3 linked regions of the Caenorhabditis elegans genome follow. The protein of the gene in region 1 interacts with the protein of each later gene in a pairwise test. Each region holds a gene or a part of one and is shown in the gene's direction. Other genes may lie near its edges.

Region 1 (9,096 bases):
CAGCTTTGTCTTGTACTTGTTGTTCGGATAGCGAGCCGGAGCATCAGTAGCTCTGAGCTCTTTGAGCCCATGAGCAAACTTGCATCGAGCACCCATATCACATGGTTTGATTCCAGATGCGTGCATCATGCAAAGACGAGTCTTGTAGTTGGGTGGTTGTTGACTGTCAGTTTCTGGAATTGGGAATCCACGACGACCGAACTTCTCGCCACGATGTTCATGGAAATGATTTTCCTTTTCAGCGCTCATCGTGTCATCGTTGTGATTGTCAAGGGTGATCTTTGAGATCTCATCGATCGGCAACTCGTCATGCTCCATAACACTGAAAAACATATAATTTTTATATTAAATTTCAAACTAATATTACCGATGATATCTGAATTGGATGTTCCTGTTGCGATTATCACGCTGAACAGTCTCGTATTCGAGACTTGTTGGAAGAGGAGTAGACGAGGTCAATGGAGCTGTGCGTGTGCTACTAATCTCCACTCCCACTTGTCTTGGCTGTTGTTGAGGTGGAATTGCCGGCTGCGTATGTGGCATCACACCCATTTGTTCTGGAAGCATCGGTGCGGCTTGCATAGGATGGAAGTACATTGGAGCCGCTTGTGGAGCCATTGATTGTTGATAATAGATGAGCTGTGGTTGTCCTGACTGCATGACTTGCTGAGCTCCTTGTTGTGGTTGAGCCATATAGAGATACGGTTGACCAGAAACCATCATGTGCTGTTGAGGAGCCATTGATCCGTTCGCGGGAACCTGCACATACTGTCCGTTGGCATCTTGATAATATGGAGCCGCTGGGGCGTACTGTTGAGAAGATCCATTTTGTGCCGCATACGTCGCCATTGGCTGGTTCGGCATGGCAGCCGCGAAGTAGTACTGCATCTGAAAAATATAACTGTAATATTATCAACATTTGTTGATTGTGAATACCTGTTGATCGTAGATTTGAGGATGTGACGACTGCCCTGGTGGTAGTGGTGGCTGGGTTGTCGTAGGTGACACTGATCCTCCGGCCGACGAGACACTATTTGATGCCGCTTTCATTCTCTGTCTGAAACATTCAATTGATTATCGATAAAATTAATTAAGAGAGAATACAATGAGAAAACGGAAAATCGAGCAGGATTTTGGGGAAAGTCGGGGAATTTTTGCTATTTAAGCTTTCTTTAACAAAGAAACTGCATTTTTCCATGAGATTACCATGAAATTTGCGTTAAATGGGTGAATTTATAACATTTACGGCTAGAAATTAATTTTAAAAAAGAGAATAAACGAAAAATTATTCGAGAAAACGTCTTTGAAGCAGAAATGAAATGAAAAAACAACCGCCAGCGCTGACAAAAATGATCAAACAAACGGAGTACGGTATACGCGGTAAGACCCAAATGAATTTTAATTCGGTGCGCCTTTAAAAAATGTATTTTTTTAATTTCTTTATCCGTGGGCCCAAATGTATTTTTTTCTTGTGGTTTGATGTAAAAATTGGGTTATATTATTTGTTTTATGGTTTAATTTTTTAAAAACTGATATTTTGCCGTTGTGAAAACCGTAAAATCAGTCGAAAATGTATTTTCTTGCAGATGGTTGTCTCTGCGGAAGTAATTCGAAAAGATGCCGTGTTTCACGTGGCTTGGTGAGTTTTCTCATCTTTTCAATCTAATTTATAATTTCTGCTTTTCCAGGATTCTTGGTACCGGCGACTCGAAAAAGCTGTCACGAAGAGAGATTTTGGACCAAAATCTCCCGGAACTGTGTCATTCAATCATTGAAATGGTTCCCGAACGGCACAGGGGCTCAGCAACAAAAACTGGACTTTATTTGCTATCCCTGCTCACATATGGAACAGTTTTGATCCATCAAGTTCAGGTTGATTTCTTGAAACGTGAGTTGGAGAATTGTATCGTCAGAAATCAATTAATATTTTCAGGAGACGTCGAGAAGCTCAAAGAGCTCATGAAGAAGAAAAGTTTCATTTTGCTGATGGCTGAAAGGTTCGACAGAAACCAAGAGTTGCAGAGAAAAGAAGATAAATTCGCAAGACTGAGATCTAAGCCTATTATGTGCGTCGAGGAGTTGGATCGGGTTGATTTGGCTCATTTACAAGCAATTGGCGACGAATTGGGAGTGAGTTCAAGTTAATTAAATAATCAATAATCAAGAATATTCTTCTAGATCAATGGAAATCCAGGAGACTTTATAATGATGGATGCGTTGCCCAACATGAATCAGTGGATTGACAATAATTCAGAATTGAATGCGATCTATGGATGTGTTGAGCCTTACCTGAGGTTCGGAACTGAATAATCGATCCCAGATTTTGAAAAAAAGCAGCGACGCACATGAACCCTGCGGCACGGTTTTTCACCTTATTTCAATAAAATTTCGATTTTCCTTGATTTATTCGCATTTTGCGTATGAAAATGCTATCCAATTAAATTTGCATAAGATTGCGAGGATATTTCCTGTTTTTACAACCAATGAAGCTCTAAATATCCTTATAATCTTATGAGAATTTATGCGGATTGCATTTCCATTCGAAAAAAAGAGAATAAACCAATTACAATCGAAATTTTATTTTAAAAAAATCAACAAAAGCTCTGAAAAAACCGTGCCACAGGGTAGAGAAATTACACTCCGCCTCTATTTCTGTGCGACATTGCTTTTTGCAAAATTGATGGATTGATAGTTTAATTTTAAATTAATTTCAAAAGTAAAATTTTCGTGTTTCAGAGAAAAAGAAATCACCATGCACTCCACGTTTGTCGAGGGTAACGGTTCAAATGAGCACAACAAGGAACGACGAAATGACGCGGTAATTGCCGACTTCAGCCAACTTTTGTTCCCTGAGATCCCTGAAATCACACTTGGCGAGAAATTTCCGATAGATGTCGATTCCAGAAAACGATCTGCTATCCTCCAGGAAGAGCAAGAAGAGGCTCTTCAGCTCCCCAAAGAAGCTTCTGAAATTGTGCAAGAAGAGCCTACAAAATTTGTCTCTATTGCTCTGCTCCCGAGTGAAACCGTGGAACAACCAGCACCCCAGGAGCCTATTCAAGAGCCCATTCAACCAATTATCGAGGAGCCCGCGCCACAGCTTGAGCTTCCACAGCCAGAGCTTCCACCACAACTAGATGCAATTGATCTTGTCACCATTCCAGCGAGTCAGCAGGATATGGTTGTTGAATATCTTCAATTGATCAACGATTTACCCGATGACGAGAACAGCCGACTGCCACCATTGCCGAAAGATTTAGAATTGTTTGAAGATGTAATTCTACCACCTCCAGCAAAGAAATCAAAAGTCGAAGAGGAAGAAGACGCGTTGGAAAGAGCACGAAGAAGACCATCATCGCGTCCAGTAACTCCGATTAATCAAACCGATTTGACAGATCTTCATTCAACTGTGCGACCGGAAGATCCGAGTTTCGCAATAGACTCCCAAATTCATGATGTTCTACCTCAACGGAAAAAATCGAAACGCAATCTGCCGATCATCCACAGCGATGATCTGGAAATCGACGAAGCTGTGCAAAAAGTGTTACAAGCCGATTATTCCTCACTGGTTCGTAAGAAGGAGGATGTAATAGCAAAGATTCCACCAAAAACGGATGCAGTCGCGGTGCTCATGAACTTACCAGAACCAGTTTTCAGTATCGGATATCGTCTTCCTCCAGAGGTTCGGGATATGTTCAAAGCTTGTTATAATCAAGCTGTTGGAAGTCCAGTGAGCGATGATGAAGAGGATGAAGATGAGGAAGAAGAGGAAGAATATAAATATGCAAAAGTTTGTCTTCTGTCTCCAAATCGCATCGTTGAGGATACTCTACTTCTAGAAGAGCAACCTCGTCAACCTGAAGAATTTCCATCTACGGATAATATCAACCCGCCAAGACAGCTACAGGAGAATCCAGTTTTTGAGAATTTGGAATATGAAGCGCCCCCGCATCCAATAAGAACTGCTCGTACGCCCACGCCGATCAAAGATTTGAAATATTCAGTTATTAGTCTGTTCCCAACTCCAGAGAAACGCCGGGAGACGAGCATCATTGCTGAACTGAATTTGGATCCTATTCCAGTTGAAGAAATTGATCCACTTTTGACGATGAGAACCGAAGAAGAACTTGAAAATGTTCGACGCCGTCAAAAAAGCAGTTTAGGGGTTCAATTTATGAGAAGTGAGATATTTTAATGTCGATTTAGTGTTGAAAATAATTTTTGCCGAAAATTGCCGAAAATGTTTAAATTGGGCAGTTCTCGAATTACCAAAAAAAAATTCCAATTTTCGGAATAAAAGGTCAAAAATGTTTCGATTTTTTCCTCGAAAATCGAAAATTCTTACATTTTCAGAGAATGAACGATAAAAATCACATTAAATCATAAAATCAATTTTTTTTTTGCTCATAAAAAAAATAAGAAAACATATAATTTTATTCTTTAGAATATCTTGGATTTCTTTAGGTAGAAAATGACCAAAATTGTTTTAAAAAAATAAGCAAACCGATGGTTTGTGTCGGGCTTTTGGTTTTTTTTTTACTAAAGTAAAAAACATTATTTTTGGATTTTTGAAAAATCGAGAATTTTCGTTGTTCGATTTTTTTGTTATACTCGCCGATTATTTTTCAAACTTTCGGTTGTCGCCCCCACTTTATAGTTTAAAATAAAATATTTTCAGCTGACGATCTGGAAGAGGATACTCGCCGTAATCGACTATTCGAGGATGAAGAACGGACTCGAGATGCTAGAGAAGATGAACTATTCTTCTATTCATCTGGAAGTCTCCTTCCCAATAATCGGCTCAACATCCACAAGGAATTGCTCAAGTGTGTATACTAACACTAAAACAGAAAGATCGACCTGCAAATTTTGCAAGGCGCCGCACACAAAATGAGGCGGAGCGTCGTTTTTTTAAACTTGCGGCTCGCCAGCCATTGTGGAAAACTGTAAATAAATTTTTGTCTAAAATGCTTGATTTCGGATAATTTTCGCTTATTTTTTTGTGTTTAATATTCGAAATAATCTAAAAATTTGGAGTTTATTCAACGAAAATTTGCCATTTTCGCCGGAAAAATACCATAAATAGTCAGTTTATTTCGAATATTAACAACAACGAAATTAGCGAAAATATTCCGAAATCCAGAATTTTCGCGAAAAATTATTTCATAGTTGTCCACGAGCCGCAGGCTTGCAGAACAACACCCCGCCTCTTTTTCTGTGCGACGCATTGGCAGGTCAATCGCTCAGTTTTGATCGTAATTGGAACTACGAAAAATCAAAAAAAAATCAATTTTTCAGCGAAGCAGAAGCAAGATATCCAGAATGGGTGAATTTCAATGAATTCACTGCGGATCACGATCGTAAAAAGGCAGCAACCGCCTTTGAGGGCCTTCTTTGTAAGATATTTAGTCGTTGAGACACAAATTAAAATAAAAATAAATATTTTTCAGTGAGTCTCAAGAATATGAAGGTTGAAGCGAAGCAAGAAGATCCTTATTTTCCAATTCTAGTACGTCACATCAGCCACGAAGAAATGTGAAGCTGCTAATATAATTGATACTGTATCATTTCCCAATTTTTCATAGCTTCCATTGTTTTGTTGTATTTTATTGCTTTGCCTTGTTCGTTAATCTTTAAAACTGAAAACTACTGTACCATTCATTTTTTTAACTTTTTTTCCTGTTGTTAAACGACTCTAGCTAGGGCTGTTATGAGGGACGAAAAGGGGCGCCCCTCGTCCCCTCGTGGGGGCGCTTCCTTCATCCAGTGCGAAAAATGTGCGTTTGTATCCTCCATGTCGATAGCAAAACAAGTTATGATTTTGCTTCATAATTATTAAAGTGACACGTTTTTTGTGTGGAATATCCACGATGGACCCGCACAATTTAACGGAAACGAGTTTCACGTAAAAATATTTTAAATGAGGTGAATATCTAATATAAGTAAAAATGAATAGGACGCGACTTTTCGTCACATCGGGGACGAGGGTCGTCCCCCATCCCCCAACCAGGGGACGGGGGCGTCCCTCGCCCCCATGAGGGGGACGAATGATCGCCCCCGCCCCCCAAAAAGGGACGTCCCTCATAACAGCCCTAACTCTAGCTAATAAAAATTGGTAGGAAATACAAAATATTAATTTATGAAAACGTGAATAATATGACCCGGGTGAGTATATAAAATATAATTATTTATATGAAATCAAGGTTAGTACCAACAAATAATGAAGCAAGCGTGGATGACTCCGGGTATGAAGCCGAGAATTGTGAGCACAATATTGATGACCAAGTCGGCTCCGCATCCTTTTTCCATCCAAACACCAATTGGCTGCAATTTGAAACTTTTTTTCGAATTTTTGAATACCTGCGCCTTTGAACGCTACAGCTTTACAGTTTTAAATGAAAATTGCATTTATTCAAAAGTGTTGTGCACGCGCCTTTAAAATTACTGTACTAAACCCAAAATTTTACAATTTTTGCGTCAAAAATACTGTACCCGGTCTCGACACGATAACTTTTTGTTATTTGAATGCGCCTTTGAAGGCTACTGTAATTAGAAAATTTCGTTTTTGCGCAGGTTTTCTCAGGATTTGTTTTAAAAATGGTATGGTTATGTTTTTACCTATGTTTTTTTGGAAAAACTATGCAAAATCGAGGAGCAACTAAATTTTGAAGTTACAGTACTCTTTAAAGGTGCACACCTCTTCCCATTGAAAAAATTGTCGTGTTGAGATCGTTTACCGTATTCCTGGCGTAAAAATCGTAAAGTTTCGCGTCTAGGTAATAGAACATTCAGGTCCCAATTTTTAATGATTTTTTTTCTAGTTTTTTTTCACAAACGTATTTAAATAAATAAATGCATGTGGTGTCAGGCTGTTCCATCACGGTTTGATCTACAAAGAATGCGGGAATTTTTTTTTCAAAAAAGTGACGTCAGCACGCTCTTAATCATGCGGAATCAGTTGAGAAGTCTGCGATTAAATTCCCGCAATTTCCGTGATTATATCTGACAATGAAAATTTTTTCAAAACGCTAACACTTACTGGGAGAAGAAGAGCACAGATGAATTTCGGGATATCGGTGCAGGTAATTGGCATGTTGGTTTGTTGGTTAGTAGAGCTGGAATACTTTTAAAAAATTGAAAACAAATAAGAAATTTATTCACAACGAGGTATCAAGACAATGAAAAAGAATGAGAAGAAGAGCTGTTGTGTGGGTTGTTTTATTGTCTTTTTATTTATACAATAGAAGAGGAGAGTACGTACTGATAATATTATGGCATCTGATAAGATATCGATTTGAATTCAAAAAAAATAAATGATGTGTATGCCTGCCTGACTAATAATGCTCTTATCAGGTCACAATTTGGTTTCTTGTACTCGTTGTGTTGACATGGAAAATGAGAATGACGAATGTATATGTGACTTCTAGGAATATGATTCATTTGCAAACATTTAAAACTTTAAGTTTTCTCTAGTTTTGCACTTTTTAAAAGAAAAGAGAATGCAATTTTTTTAATATTTAAAGTTTCCGCAGAGGCACTCGTAGTTTTAAAAAATTCTACAGAGTTCGCGAAATCGTTAGAATCTCGAAAACATAAGTATTATGAAAATTAGGAAAAGGCGAAATTTCTCTTACTATTAGAAAAGGTATACTATAAATGCTATATGCTATAAATAGTATACTATTCTATATTCGATGTAAGCAGCCATGAGTAAACTATTACGAAAAAAGTGTTCATATTATATAAATCTATCCGACAGAATTTATTAGAATACTGCAAAACATTATGTGAAATACACACTAGCCAAGAAAAGAGCGGCGCCTAATAAGTATAAACCGCAACAGGTTTTTTATTTTGAAAAAAAGGCGTTTCAAAATTTCCTGAAACATTTTCGCCGTTGTATCTGAAGCTTATTAAATAAATGGAATGCATGATTTTTCCAAAAAATTTTTCAAGTGCTCTAGTATCAAATTCAAGGACACTCCAAAGGAGTCAGGTCGTTGAAACCTTTTTACTCGAAGGTGAGAGTCACGAGAGGTCTGATAAGCTGCTTTCAAATTTTCAAATGATAAAACTTTTGAACTTCAAGTTTACACTTATTATATATATATATAACTTTCAGAAAAATTTTGGAAAAAATAACATTTTTTAAAGAGTTTCCCTGGACTCAGGGGTGCACAATCGAATTTTGGCAATTTTTCGGCAATTCGGCAAATATTTTAGAACCCGGCAATTGCCGGAATTGCCCATAGCCATAAATCAAAATTGCCCGAAATATCCAAAACAGGCAATTGCTGAAATTGTCGATTTGCCGGAAATTTTGAAAACCTGCAATTGCCGTACTTTAACTTCTAATACAAGAACAAAGGAAATTTCAGAGCAAAATGTATTACAAATCAAAAAGAGTTTAAAATTCCATCAAACTGATGAAAATAAGTGCCGAAAATGGTTGAACTGATAACTTGTCGAAGGGTGGAGAGGAAGGATTATAAGTAGAGAGAGTGTGTCTCGGAGAGGATGAATCATGTGACACAAACATTAAAAAGTGTTTAACAAATGTAAATAAATGAATCATCAATAAGTAAAGATTTCACAATGTGGAGGTATCGGATGACGATGAAGTGGCATTAAATGCATCAACGAGACGCATAACATCAATGTCCGAATATTGCTCGTGTGTCGTGAAATGTATTTGGGCAATACGTGCCAGGTTACGTACATTCCATGGATCACGCATACGGGCACGACGGGCAAGGATACGAACATGCCAGTAGTGGTATATCTGAGATAGATTTGAAGATATTATTTTTTTGGAAGCGTTATTGGAAAATCGAGTAAAATTTAATTCTCCTACCTCAAAAACAAAAACCATTAGAGAAGCAGCAACCCCCAATGCTCCAATTGTAAATACACCAATCACGGACTCAATATCCAATGGTTTTGTTGCATCCGAAGCAGTTGGTTCAGTTACTTCACATTTTGGAATAAAACCCAGTTTGAAGCCCTGAACTGACTTGGATTAAAAATCGTTTATTTCAACGTCACCTCATTGAAATATTTATTGAACGTTCGTTGTATAAACGCCTGATTCATAAT
Region 2 (5,657 bases), on another chromosome or scaffold:
TTTCAGCGGATTCGTTACGACGTGTCTCACCACATCGTTAGTAGGATTTCAGAACACATTAAGTAGAAATCAAGAGACGCGGAATAGTGAAATGAAAATGCGACGTTTACCTTTCTGAGAAGGACGGTTACACCGGATGTACGCGTCGACGCTTTAATCTAATAAGGATAAGGTTCAATGCATGAAAAGGTGTTTACATTTGAAACCTTCTATTTCGGTTAAAAGAACTCGAATGAAATATTGCATCAGAAAATCTATAGTTTAGAAAATGCGTTTATTTTTAGAATAGGACAATTTTACAAGCAAGAGTCATAAATTAATACAAAAATTACAGAAATGTCAAAAAATAACGATATTCACAACCATTCGGATAGAAATTAAAGAGACAATCAAAAGGGTCATTTATTGTAGTTGCTTGATCTCTTTTCCTGTTTTCTTCAGAGCTTCAAGTACATCAGATGCTGGTAAATCAGTTGTAACTGTGATTTTCTTGGTTTCCACGTTAATATCGTCAATTTTGATTTTGTCTTCTGTAGAATAATAGGATTAATTTGATTAACAAAAAGTAAACCAAACCTCCAAGCTTTCCTAGAACTTTTCGCGCAGCATTTGCACAGCCATTGCATGTCATGCCCATTTCGAAAACGTACTGAAAATGTTCAAATTATTTTTTTTTTCACAAATATGAGAATATTTAATTGTAATTTGTAAAAAGTTAAATAATTTACCTGTGTCATGATATTTGTTGAGTCAGAAATCTGGAAACTCTGCTTCTGCTTGCCTGAAAAACGTTAATTTGAATGATTGGAATTAGTACAGTCGAAAAGAAATGAACAAAGAGACGCAAAATGGAGAGACAGTGATAGGGCGACTCGTGGTCAATGCTTTATCTCTGAGAATTTGCATCATTCGACATTTTTTGATCAAGTTTTCAAGAAACTGCGATAATTAAAAAAGGAACTATTGAGATGGGACAACTCGAATGGTTTAAGCAACTTTTAAATGTTTTCCAGTTTTTTTTTTTACTTTTTGGAAAAATTTATGGAAAAATGAGAAAGAAGCTTAGAAACAGGATAAAGACACCAAATGACGTCACAGCTTTGCATTAATGCATCTTCTCTATTTTCTCGGCGTCTCACTCATCTTCTACTTTGAAACGAGCGTTTTTATGGGGTGAGAAAATTATCGATTTTAAGGGTGATCAGTTAAAGAGAAAAATAAAGACGATAACATTTTGATGGAGCCTGTTAAATGTTGTGAATTGGAAGAAATAGAGCCTTATATAAAGAACTGTTTTATCATCTACAGTAGTCCGAAAGCCATTTAGCAGGATATTCGAGGCTGAAGAGAAGTTAACTATATTTAGATAGCATAACTTATTAAAACTCAAAAAGTACAAGGACATTGAAAAAGCGGAAAATACAAATACTCAGTTTAAATTAACTAAAAAACCAAAACCCACATCTTTTTCATGCATGATGCATGGGTATGATTAATTTTATGTCGTCAAGTATGGTGTCGCATACGCAGTCTGCAGTATGTCGTATTATCTGATGCTAGCGCAACTTTCGAAAATTCAAGGTTCTTTTTTCATTTTTATGGAGGATTTCGCAGCGTTTTAACCTTTTTAAATGTGTTTTGTTGAGTTTATGTTTATTAAAACAACTTTGTCACTATTAGAAAATAGATACATCTTTCCATCTCACTGAAAAAACCGTCAGATGGGTTTTAAACTTCTTAAATTGTTCAAACATAACAATTGTGATTCGGAAACGCTTTGAATGTATTTTTATTGCTTAAATTACTTGTGTCCTTCACTATTTTCGATATCCCTCGTTTCAAAATATATTATTTAAAAATATTTCAGAAATGTCCGCAGTTCAACCAGTGAACCCAAAACCGTTCCTCAACAGTCTCACCGGAAAGTTTGTCGTTTGCAAACTGAAGTGGGGAATGGAGTACAAAGGTTTGTATTGACATAATGAAATATTTCACCAAAAGCGCCAAATGTTTAAGGTGTCCTTGTTGCTGTCGACTCCTACATGAATCTGCAGCTGGCTCACGCCGAGGAGTACATTGACGGAAACAGTCAAGGAAATCTCGGAGAGATTCTTATCCGGTTGGTGCATTTTTTAAAAGAAAAAATTCAAGCCGTAGAAACTAAAGTTATTACAATCTTATGCACATTTATATCGTAGTAAATCTTGAAAAATGTTCTAACTTTAGATGCAACAACGTTCTCTACGTGGGAGGCGTGGACGGAGAAAACGAGACGAGTGCCTAAATTCTTCAAACCCTTCTCAACAATTGATCTTATGTTCACAAGTTTTCTGTCTTTTTCGCACATTCTTAATCAATAAATTATAATTATCTTATTAAAGAAGTTTTTAAAATATTTATTAAATGAAAAAAAAAATCATCAGCAAATTATGTAAATTATCAAAGACACAGCGAATCCTCTTTCACCAACGTGGCGCTCATTTCATTTTTGACATCTACTTCTTCAACAACTACAATACCATTCTCAATTGTCTTCAGCTTCTCTTTCTCATTCATCTCCTGATCATCCTCAACTTTAGCCCAATCTTGTAATTCTCCTGATCCGAATAACAAGAATATTGAACCAGAGAAAATATGTGCCAGTGAGCATCCTATGAAGATATTCTGCCACTCCGCAGCGGTTCCCTAAGAATATGGATAGCAAGTAGATTTGTCAAAAATCTCTAAAATAGCTTACGTCTTTTCTGAACATGCTCATGACTGCAGGAGTTGTCAATCTACCAATCATTGCAACAAACATTGAAATTGCAGACATGGTTGCAGTATATTGTGGTGCCAAACTGAGTAGTGATGTGTAAAATCCACTCACAAATGTTCCCATTGAGCTATACCTGAAGACTTTAAATTTGGAAAAGTCGCTGAAAAGTATCGAAACTCACATTAAACAGAAGAAAATAAGGCCAGTTGTTGGATTAGAGCAATCGACAAAGAATGCAAGTAAAATAAGTGAGAAGGAACTCCCAAAACTTGCTGAAATAAATACTATTTCTGGAAACTTGCAAAAATCAACTGACCAACACCATGTGATACCTTTACAGCTTTAGTATTACTGAGAATCTTATTTTCTTTTAATTTATCTATTCCAATACCCCAAACAACTTTGAATATCATATTGAAGATGTTGGGAATTGCAGTAAATGTACCATTCTGAAATGATTACAAATAAAAAATAATATTGAAATGTTGAGTGTCTTACAGCAATAACGCCCAAATGTAGAACTTCTTTGAAATATGAAGGCAAGTAAATTTGAAATAGTGTCATGAAAAGATTGACAAAGAAATGACATTGAAGTTGACCAAGAAATGCAGGAGAAGTTAGAATTTTAGAGTATGGAATCGAACGGGTTTTCTGAAAGTTTCAGAATAACATGATATGATTTTTATTCTAAAACTAGAGTGCTAAAACGTTTTCCTGTATGAGAAGATACTTTAATTTTTTTATTTTGTATTTTGTCTCGAAGTTATTTGGATTTCGAATTATTTACTACGGTAAGTACATTCCCAAAAAAATTTGTTACTCACTTCGGACTTGTGCACTTTCTTTACCACATTTGCCAATAAGTACTCTTTCTCCTTCTTTGTCATCATTTTTACTTTTGCCGGATGACTAGATGCTGTGAAGAACCAGAGAATCGACCATCCAGTAGCAAATATTCCTGGAAATAATTTAATATAATATGAAATCCAGGAAAAGTTGTCTGAATAAAAGTTTGAAGATTATTTAGGTAGAAAAATCCCGACAAAACTTAAGTTTTCAATTCCCTACACATACCAGCAAAATAAAAAGTAGCTGGCCATCCCAAATCAGATGCACAAACCGCTGCTACCATAGGACTTCCTGCAGCTGATGCAATTTGATTACCTAATGTAAAAATTGATAAAGCTGTGCTCTTTTCTGAGCTGGGAAACCAATTCCCAATAATTGCATTGTTCGTAGGAAATACAAAACCCTGGAACTTTCATAAGTATTTATTCTGCAACTGATCACATTGTACCTCTCCTAACCCCATTCCAATTCTTGCCAGGAAAACTGAAAAATATCCGAAATGTGTCGCCAAAAAAGGAGTTATTACGGTAACCAAAATGTAAAGGGCTACAGAAATTTGAAGTACGTGACGTGGAGAAAAGCGCTCAATGAAGAACATTGAAGGGAGTACTGTAATAAGTGATCCCCAAAATGTTCCAGAAAATATAAGATTTTGTTCGTAGCTGTTCCATACCAATTCACCCTGAAATTAGAATATACCAGATTCAAATAAGTAAAACAATTGTACCCCATAATCAACAACAACTTTCTTTTGCCCATCTTCATCCATCAAACCACATTGACCATTAGATCCCAAATTAATCTGAAAACAATACATACAAAATAAATCTGAATTCGTTTCACAAACCTCCTCTATAATAGAAATTTCAGAGACATTTGAATTTCCGGCCAATTTAATTTCATTTTCCACTGCTAAAGCAGTAGAATTAACCATACAAGTCATTGTCAGTGCAAAATGAATTCTCATAAAAGTTGTGCAGAAAAATCCGATCTGGAAAGAAAAAGTTACCAAAATTTTTGGCATATTGGTAAAAGTAATACTCACCATACATAGTAGAACAATATGAAGCCGCCGGGAAAATGGGTGAAATAAAGCTAAAATTGGGTAAAAGGTTTTTGAAGGAAGCATACAATGATTACATACAACTCGGAAGAGTTGTCAATTCATTGGGATATTTGATTGTCGAATTCGACGGGAATAAACTGCTTAATTTTAAAATCAGTTGGAAAAATTTTAGAAAAATTCTCACGAAGGACATTCCTCTTTTCAAAAAACGATCGAATTATGGCAGAAAATACAACTTACGGAATTTTTTTGCCATTTTGAAATGAGATTATAGAATTTATACGAATATTGAGATCAATAGGTTTATAAAAACTTTTTTACGAAATATATAAAATTTTCAACAAAAAACGAGTCAGTCACAACTTTCTCTGACCTGAAACACTCATTCTTCATAAATTCTTCAAATTGATTGTGCTCTTTGTGAGTAAATTCATCATTTTTTGATTATTTAAGAAACTAACGATTATTGTCAATGTAGTTTAAGAAATTTCAGTTCAAATGATAAGAAAATGATTTTTTCAGGTGGCTTGGATGTAGTCGTGTTTTATTATTTTTAAAGATTTTCTTGTATCTTTTGCAGAACAGTTTATTCTGAACCTTAAAAAATCGGGATGTACCTCCTCGTCCTTTCAATTTGTGTAAATCATCGAATGGTTGTAGTGAACAAGTCGATTTTTTCAATTCTCATTTTCTTATCAGCGATCTTTGAACAATGACATGATCAATTCCAAAAGCAGAAACTCTGTCCCGAAAGGAAAACTGAATTGCTTTTTATGATGAGCATTTGTGAACTACTCATGTTATGTAAAGAACGTTGAAAGATATATAATAACTCCCTATATTGTGATCTTTCACAGATGCTGGGAACGGATGGTAGTACCACAAAGATGTGATCGCATAATCGTATGGCCAATTCCACCAATGAATCTTGCATTCAACAGTATTATTCCTGATGATAAACTGACTTTCCACATTGGATTGTTA
Region 3 (6,834 bases), on another chromosome or scaffold:
ATGCAACAACTCGAGATATAACAGAAGTAGCTGAAACAACAGCTCATGAAGTTGTGCACCAATGGTTTGGCGATATTGTAACCCTTGATTGGTGGAATGATATCTTCCTAAACGAAGGATTCGCACAATACTGGTTTGCCAATGGAATCGATAACACATTCCCAGAGCAACATGCCTATTCGATCGTAAGAAGCTACTTAAAGTTGTCTTTTATTGAAATTCATGTTTCTTCCAGGACTATAACCGTTTCTACATGAACCATATTGCACTAAAATACGACTGTATTCCTGGAGTTGCTAAACCAGTCATCAGTGATACTCCACCAGTATTTGGAATTGAACCATACTACAAAGGAAGTGCTCTTTTGAATCTGCTCAACAATGTTTTGACTCCAGCAGTTTTCCAAGAAGGATTGTCTAGTTATCTAACACAATATGGATACGTTAATGCTAGTCCGAGAAATTTATGGACTTCTTTGACTGTGGTAAGCGTGCAAAATGAAGCAACGGACAAATTTCTTCTATTTCTTCACTATATTTAAAAAAATCTTTAGTTTCCATGCCAAAAATTTGTCAAAAATTGGCCAAGATTTACTTTAGTAAAAGTACAATTTTCAGGCTGCACAAAGACACAATATAACCGATTGGAATGGTCAACCTCTAGATGTATCTTCATTTATGGACCCCTATACTCTTCAAACCTCATATCCAATCATTACCCTCACTCTTCGTGGAACATCTACAGTTCAAGCTAACCAACAATCATGTATGAGCGATGAAACTCTCTGGAATGTGCCCCTTTTTACTCAAACCCCCGGGGCACTAGGTAAGAAATGAAATTCTTCTGTACATATAAGCATCTATAAACTTTCAGACTTCAACTGGTTTGTGAATTTCACCGGTGGAAACGATGCAACTTGGCTTCGACCATTGCCAACTGGTTACCGAGTTGATAATGCGGGTAGTACGGTATGAAAAGTGTAAAGTTTTGTAGAAATAATACATAATAATTTCAGAGTTTCGCTAGAATAAACTACGATGATAAGTCCTGGTATAGCATTCAGGCTCAACTTCTCTCAAATATGAACACAATGTCTTCTACGACAAGAGCAATGCTGCTCGATGATGCTAACTTTTTCTATCAGTCTGGCCGCTGGGAGATGACAAAATTCCTGGATTTGACATTGTATCTTGTAAACGAGGATTCACTTGCACCATGGGAACAGGCTATCGAGTTCTTCACTGAAATGTTAAATAGATTCCAATACCAACCAGAAATTGATACTGTAAGAAACTATGTTATTCAAATTACGAAAAACGCAGTGTCCAAGTTCCAATGGAACACGAATGGCCTTTGGGCAAACGAGTAAGTTGGTTTCAAAAAGTTAAGAAAAACATTGTTCTCTAAATAAATTTTTCAGTCGAATTGTACAACTCCTAGTAAACGTCAATAACTTGGCTGTTAATCGACAATCTAGGCAGGTTGCTCTAACTTTGTTCAACAACTTTGTATTGAAATGCAAGTACTCGCTTTCTGGAACTGGAAAGTGCTCAGGGTAGTTTTGAAAGAAGTAATATATCAATTGAGAATTTATTTCCAGAATTCATCCAAATCTTCGACAACCCACTTATTGTTATGGCCTTCGTCAAAGTAATAATATCGATGATTTTACAACAGTGAACAACCTATACTCGTGGTTTGTACAAAATGCTGGCTACTTGCAAACAGATGGATCTAATCTTTTGAATGCTCTGGGATGCGTACAAAATCTTGATTTGCAAAAGACGTTAGTTTAAGGTTTAATTGTCAAGTTACTAATTCAAAACAATAGTAAGACAAAACTTCCTATAACAAAGCTTTGTTGGAAGATTGACAACGATTTCCATTTTTCAAATAATTGTGCCAATTTTCCCGAAAAATTCAACATTTTGCAACATGAAAAATGTTGAATTTTTTGGGAAAATTAAAGATTGCTTGGCTTTTTTTTGATCAGGAAAAAATTGTCAACGTCTCAAAATCTTACTAAAAATTGGAATATTTTTGTCGGAGATGTTGTACAGATTTTACTGCAATTTTGGAAAAATTTAATTTCATAGTATATTTTTATCACGTTATAACAAAAATTGCAAAATTGCAGTAAAATCTGTACAACATCTCCGACAAATATATTCCAATTTTTAGTAAGATTTTGAGACGTTGACAATTTTTTCCTGATCAAAAAAAGCCAAGCAATCTTTAATTTTTAAAAAAAATAAAAACATACATAAGGGGATCCTTTGACTCAAGAAAAAAATAATTCATGCAATTTTCAGAATGCTTCGATCAATTCTGAGTGGAGATTATCCACCATCACTTCTCAATTCAATTGCAGTTCATGATGATTCATCAGATGTTCTTTACAATTTCTTGCTGGATAATACTCAAGATGTACTCACCAGTATCTCATAATTTATCTATATTAAAATCCAAATTTTCAGATTCTCAATGCTCCGTTTGACTTCTCTCTATACGTCAAAGCCATGTTCCAAAATTGGTCAACTTCAAACCAACTAGAATTGGCAAAGGATTTCCAGAATTCTTCCAATTATAATCTTCTTAATGCGGCTCAAAAGAACATTTATAAACAAGGAATTTTAACAGTTAATAGCAATGCCAACTGGATGTTGATCTACAAAACTCCGTTCCTTGAGTGGATTCAGAAGAATTTTGGAGCACCTAATTTGTAAATGTTGAATATTTTCTAGTATTATTTAGCAATTGAAAATAAATTTTAAAAAATAAATAATTAAACGTGTATTGCTATTTTTATTTTTATTTTTTTAAACGTTTTTTTTGCGATCTCCTCCCCCCAAACCAAGATATCAATTTATTTTTCAATTTGTCGAGAATGGCAAACAACCGTTCAACCTATGGAAACGTCAACAATAAAAGTAAGATTTTTTGCAGTTTTTCAGATTTCTCTCACTTCAGAAATTAATTTCAGGTGATCTAAATGTAGACGATATAATTGTAAAAATCCTGAACATTGGATCAGGCGGGAACAATTTCGAAGCAATTATGAGCCAGAAGACACTTGTTTCCTTGTTGGATGCAGCCAAGTAAGAATAAGCCGTGTGCCTGAAGGATGCCTGCCTGCCTACGTTTTATCTACTTGCATATTTACGTCAATACTTTATGCCCACCTTTTACCTACCTCATGACTACTTCAAACCTATTCAAATGCTTACTGAAGGCTTTTCTACGTGCCAGCCTACCTGCCTACCTACATGTTTTCTACTCACGCGAGACAGCCTATGGGCCTTTCTGTGCCTGTCTACGTGCCTACTTGAAGTCTATACCTTTCCTACCTATCTACGGGTCCTCCTAGGAGCCTTCGGCATGTCTGTCAACGCGTGTACCTAAGTGTCTACGACTGACTGCTTTAGGAAAATGCCTATATGTTTTGGCAAGAATAAGGAATGGAGCTTCGGACGCTTTTTTGTCCGTTTCCACACTTCTAGTTTGGAAAATAATAATTTTATACAATCTATTTTTTTCAGGGATGTATTCATGAAACAAGGTGCAATGCTCGAACTTGAAGCTCCTGTGAAGATCTGTGGTGACGTACATGGTCAATATTCGGATGTTCTTCGCCTTTTCGATCGTGGAGGATTCCCACCATTGGTCAACTACTTGTTTCTGGGGGATTACGTCGATCGCGGACAACAAAGTCTAGAAGTTGCCTGTCTGTTCCTGGCCTACAAAGTCAAATTTCCCGGGAACTTCTTCATGTTACGCGGGAATCACGAGTGCGGATCCATTAACCGTGTCTATGGATTTTTGGATGAAGTTCAACGGAAATATGGAGCAAAGGGTGGAACAACAATGTGGAATTGCTTTCAAGTTAGTGTTTTGATTTTTAAAATTAAATTTAAAATGTTTGTTCCAGATTTGTTTTGCGTATATGCCGTACACTGCTCTGGTCTCCGGAAGAATTCTTTGTATGCACGGTGGAATCAGTAAACGGATGAACAATTTGAATCAACTTCGCAATCTTCAAAGACCGGTTTTAGAAGTCGCTAATCCGAGCGTCGAAATAGATATCCTCTGGTCAGATCCTGACTCAACAGTTGATGATTTTGTGGACAGTACCCGTGGAGTTGGTCAAGTTTTTGGAGCAAAAGCATTGACAGCTATAATGAATAAACTGGACGTTGATTTGGTTGCACGTGCACATCAAGTAGTTCAAGATGGATATGAATTCTTCAACAACAAACGTCTTGTCACAATTTTCTCAGCTCCTCATTACTGTGGAGAATTTGACAATGCGGCTGCGATGATGAATGTTGACAAGAACTTGACTTGCTCCTTCCAGGTAAATTTTAGAAAGAATGAAAAGAGTATTAAATTATTTCATTTCAGATCATGAGACCCTCCATCGATGCAAAAAAGTGAACTACAAGTGAAGAAAGCAAAAGAATTCTCAATTTATGCATGTATTTTATTTCTGTGAAAATATTTTGAATAAATTTGAAATTCTAAAGCTCAACATAATAAATACATATTTTTTACCCAGCTTTCAATTGATTAACATATCTACTCGCCTTTTCCTGCCTACGTGCCTATTCACCTACACTTCGCATGTATTTTCTTGAAAATCCATTGATTATCCGAATGCCGGAAGCCCAATATATGTCAGCTTAATTTGGAGTCCTAGTACATTTAATTTTACAAGAATGTGAAAGATTTTGTTAACAATAGTTTATTCCTTTCAAATCAATGATTTATGGAGCCTGGAAACCCCCGGTGTGCATTAGGGTCCAGTTGACTTCGGATAGCCAGATTCTGCTCACAAGAATGTACTTGAAGAGCTCAACTGAAAATTCAATTTTTGTTGGTTTTTTAATACCTAATTCTTTCAAATACCCGCAATAAAGAACGCGGCTCCAATTTCAACACAGAACCCGGCGACGACCCCGAAAACAAAGCGAAAGTCTGGGGAAGTCATATTTCCGTAATGTTCAGGACGAAAATGAGTTCCGTTCTTTTCTATTGCTTCTATTTCTCCCGATGCAAAGAAGCTGGCAGACACGACTGGGAACAGTAGAAATGGGATCACTGATAGAATTGTTGCAGTCATCTCAAAAATTGAGAATTTGTTGGTTGGTTAGCAGGTGATTTTGTTTCAAAACTTTGGCCATATTGACATCATACAGAACACTAGATATTCAACTAGAAAATTGCTCTGATTTTTATACTTAAAACTTATAGTCAGAGCTTCTGAATTGGTTTAGAAATCGCGCCTCTCTTTAAGAGCATGGAGCAAAAAATCTTACAGTGAGTCTTTGAGCCCATTTGAGGTGTTTAACGTCTCGCTTGGCAACGGCGAAAATCAAGAAACCATTGAAGAATAGGTAGGCAATTGGAATCAGAGACAGGAAAATGCCGTGAGGGCCATAGTAAAATTGAGCTCCTGAACGAAGGATTCCGGCCGATGCGAGAGCATAAATCACTGGACGAATTGGTAGGCACCCAATTTTCATGACGGCTGAAACGGCGTTGTCAGTTAAATTGTACTTGATAAAACAGCAAATAAATTATAAACACTAAGAATTATAATGGCGATTGAAGAAGACAAAAAAAAGTTTATCTGAAAACGAAAGGCGGAGCTTTTCAAGTTTTCAAGAAAATGAAGTCAGGTGTATATGATTATAGGTTATGTTCATCACCATAGTAACCCATCGACCAACGTTCATTCAAAAAACTGAAAAAAAGGTTTATTCAAGCATGAGGAAATGATTGGGCCAAGAAAATTTGCGAACAAATTAATTTACGAACAACACTTCGCTACGAGATATTCGAGCGCAGAAAGCAATCCATTCTCTTGATCTGCGCACAGAAAAGGGAGACGAGTCCCAGTCGAGCGAGGAGAAACGAGAATGAAAGGTGCGAATGTGTGAAAATTATTTTTCACAGACAAGCTTGAGTGTCTAATAATTATTTTCAATTCTTCGGCCACCGGTAGACATAAAGGATATATTTTCAATTTTTTCAATTTGAGAAAATCTTTATTAGTTTTCTTTTTTTTCATGACTGAAAGTATATATTCAAAAGAGAACTATGATAGATGCCGGGCGTGTGAAAAAAAATATGCAGACAGAAAATAAATTAGAAAATAAGGTAGATAATGATATATCAAGATTAAGCAACAATTTTGATGTCATTTGGATTCTTTTCAGGAATTGGCTCCTCGATCTTCTTCTGCTCTGGCTCTGGCATTTGGTTGTCAAAGTACTGGAACGGGAATGTCGCGAGGACACAGATACGCCTCATTTCACCTGAAATATTGTAGCGAGAATATCATACAAAATTCAACTATCCTTACCATACAAAAATATTGCAAAGCATCCCTGAGCTAGAAGTCCCACAGTCATTTTAGTGTGGAACAGATCTGAATTGAACAATCCATTGCACGCGTGTCTTTTTGGATCACAATCCTCGTATGTTGAAGTAACCGCCGTGAGGAACACTGGGGCAGTTGCAAACCCATAGAAAATCCAACCGAAGTGGAGACACTGAGAATAAATGTTTAATCGCGCCCGGCCAGCATATATTCTGTCCTACCGATATGAAGATCTGGAATCTCTGGAGAGATTTTTTCATTTTCAACGTGACAACGATGTTGAACAGGGCAAACGCAATGGTGAGAAGAAATTGATTCAAAAAGTATGGATAGTATTTAGGGATGTAATAAATGAGTCCTCCATTGAAGACGACAATCATGAGTTCCACGAAGAAATTTGTGAACCAAAGCCTCTTGAACTCCCGTTTCACAATCTGTAAAATTCAAAAAAT

Evidence for each region.
Region 2: the proteins of rec-8 (region 1) and snr-5 interact in a two-hybrid assay, tested with the Caenorhabditis elegans proteins (one large-scale study listed by BioGRID).
Region 3: the proteins of rec-8 (region 1) and T16G12.7 interact in a two-hybrid assay, tested with the Caenorhabditis elegans proteins (one large-scale study listed by BioGRID).

What each region holds. Positions count from the first base shown.
Region 1 is NC_003282.8:13,345,684-13,354,779, reverse strand, and holds rec-8 (Meiotic recombination protein rec-8), read left to right. Parts: upstream 1-1,586; coding exon 1,587-1,639; intron 1,640-1,688; coding exon 1,689-1,888; intron 1,889-1,933; coding exon 1,934-2,130; intron 2,131-2,178; coding exon 2,179-2,294; intron 2,295-2,736; coding exon 2,737-4,181; intron 4,182-4,678; coding exon 4,679-4,826; intron 4,827-5,298; coding exon 5,299-5,396; intron 5,397-5,450; coding exon 5,451-5,539; 3' UTR 5,540-5,658; downstream 5,659-9,096. Other genes in the region: Zinc finger protein mex-5, read right to left, coding at 1-322, 368-888, 937-1,050; W02A2.9 (Plasma membrane proteolipid 3), read right to left, coding at 6,205-6,324, 7,040-7,093; glr-9 (Solute-binding protein family 3/N-terminal domain-containing protein), read right to left, coding at 8,591-8,782, 8,855-9,004, 9,046-9,096.
Region 2 is NC_003281.10:7,860,203-7,865,859, forward strand, and holds snr-5 (putative small nuclear ribonucleoprotein F), read left to right. Parts: upstream 1-1,867; 5' UTR 1,868-1,869; coding exon 1,870-1,966; intron 1,967-2,016; coding exon 2,017-2,119; intron 2,120-2,226; coding exon 2,227-2,284; 3' UTR 2,285-2,372; downstream 2,373-5,657. Other genes in the region: cuc-1 (Copper transport protein ATOX1), read right to left, coding at 403-530, 577-649, 729-737; putative transporter slc-17.3, read right to left, coding at 2,440-2,685, 2,738-2,891, 2,940-3,030, 3,075-3,207, 3,257-3,409, 3,583-3,716, 3,833-4,010, 4,056-4,289 and 4 more.
Region 3 is NC_003281.10:10,036,143-10,042,976, reverse strand, and holds T16G12.7 (Serine/threonine-protein phosphatase), read left to right. Parts: upstream 1-2,879; 5' UTR 2,880-2,887; coding exon 2,888-2,930; intron 2,931-2,983; coding exon 2,984-3,098; intron 3,099-3,539; coding exon 3,540-3,882; intron 3,883-3,928; coding exon 3,929-4,354; intron 4,355-4,401; coding exon 4,402-4,434; 3' UTR 4,435-4,519; downstream 4,520-6,834. Other genes in the region: T16G12.1 (Putative aminopeptidase-2), read left to right, coding at 1-185, 236-484, 618-825, 874-968, 1,016-1,365, 1,421-1,555, 1,601-1,786, 2,313-2,427 and 1 more; M04D8.7 (DUF2700 domain-containing protein), read right to left, coding at 4,764-4,855, 4,906-5,119, 5,316-5,522; xbx-3 (X-BoX promoter element regulated), read right to left, coding at 6,181-6,317, 6,365-6,554, 6,604-6,816.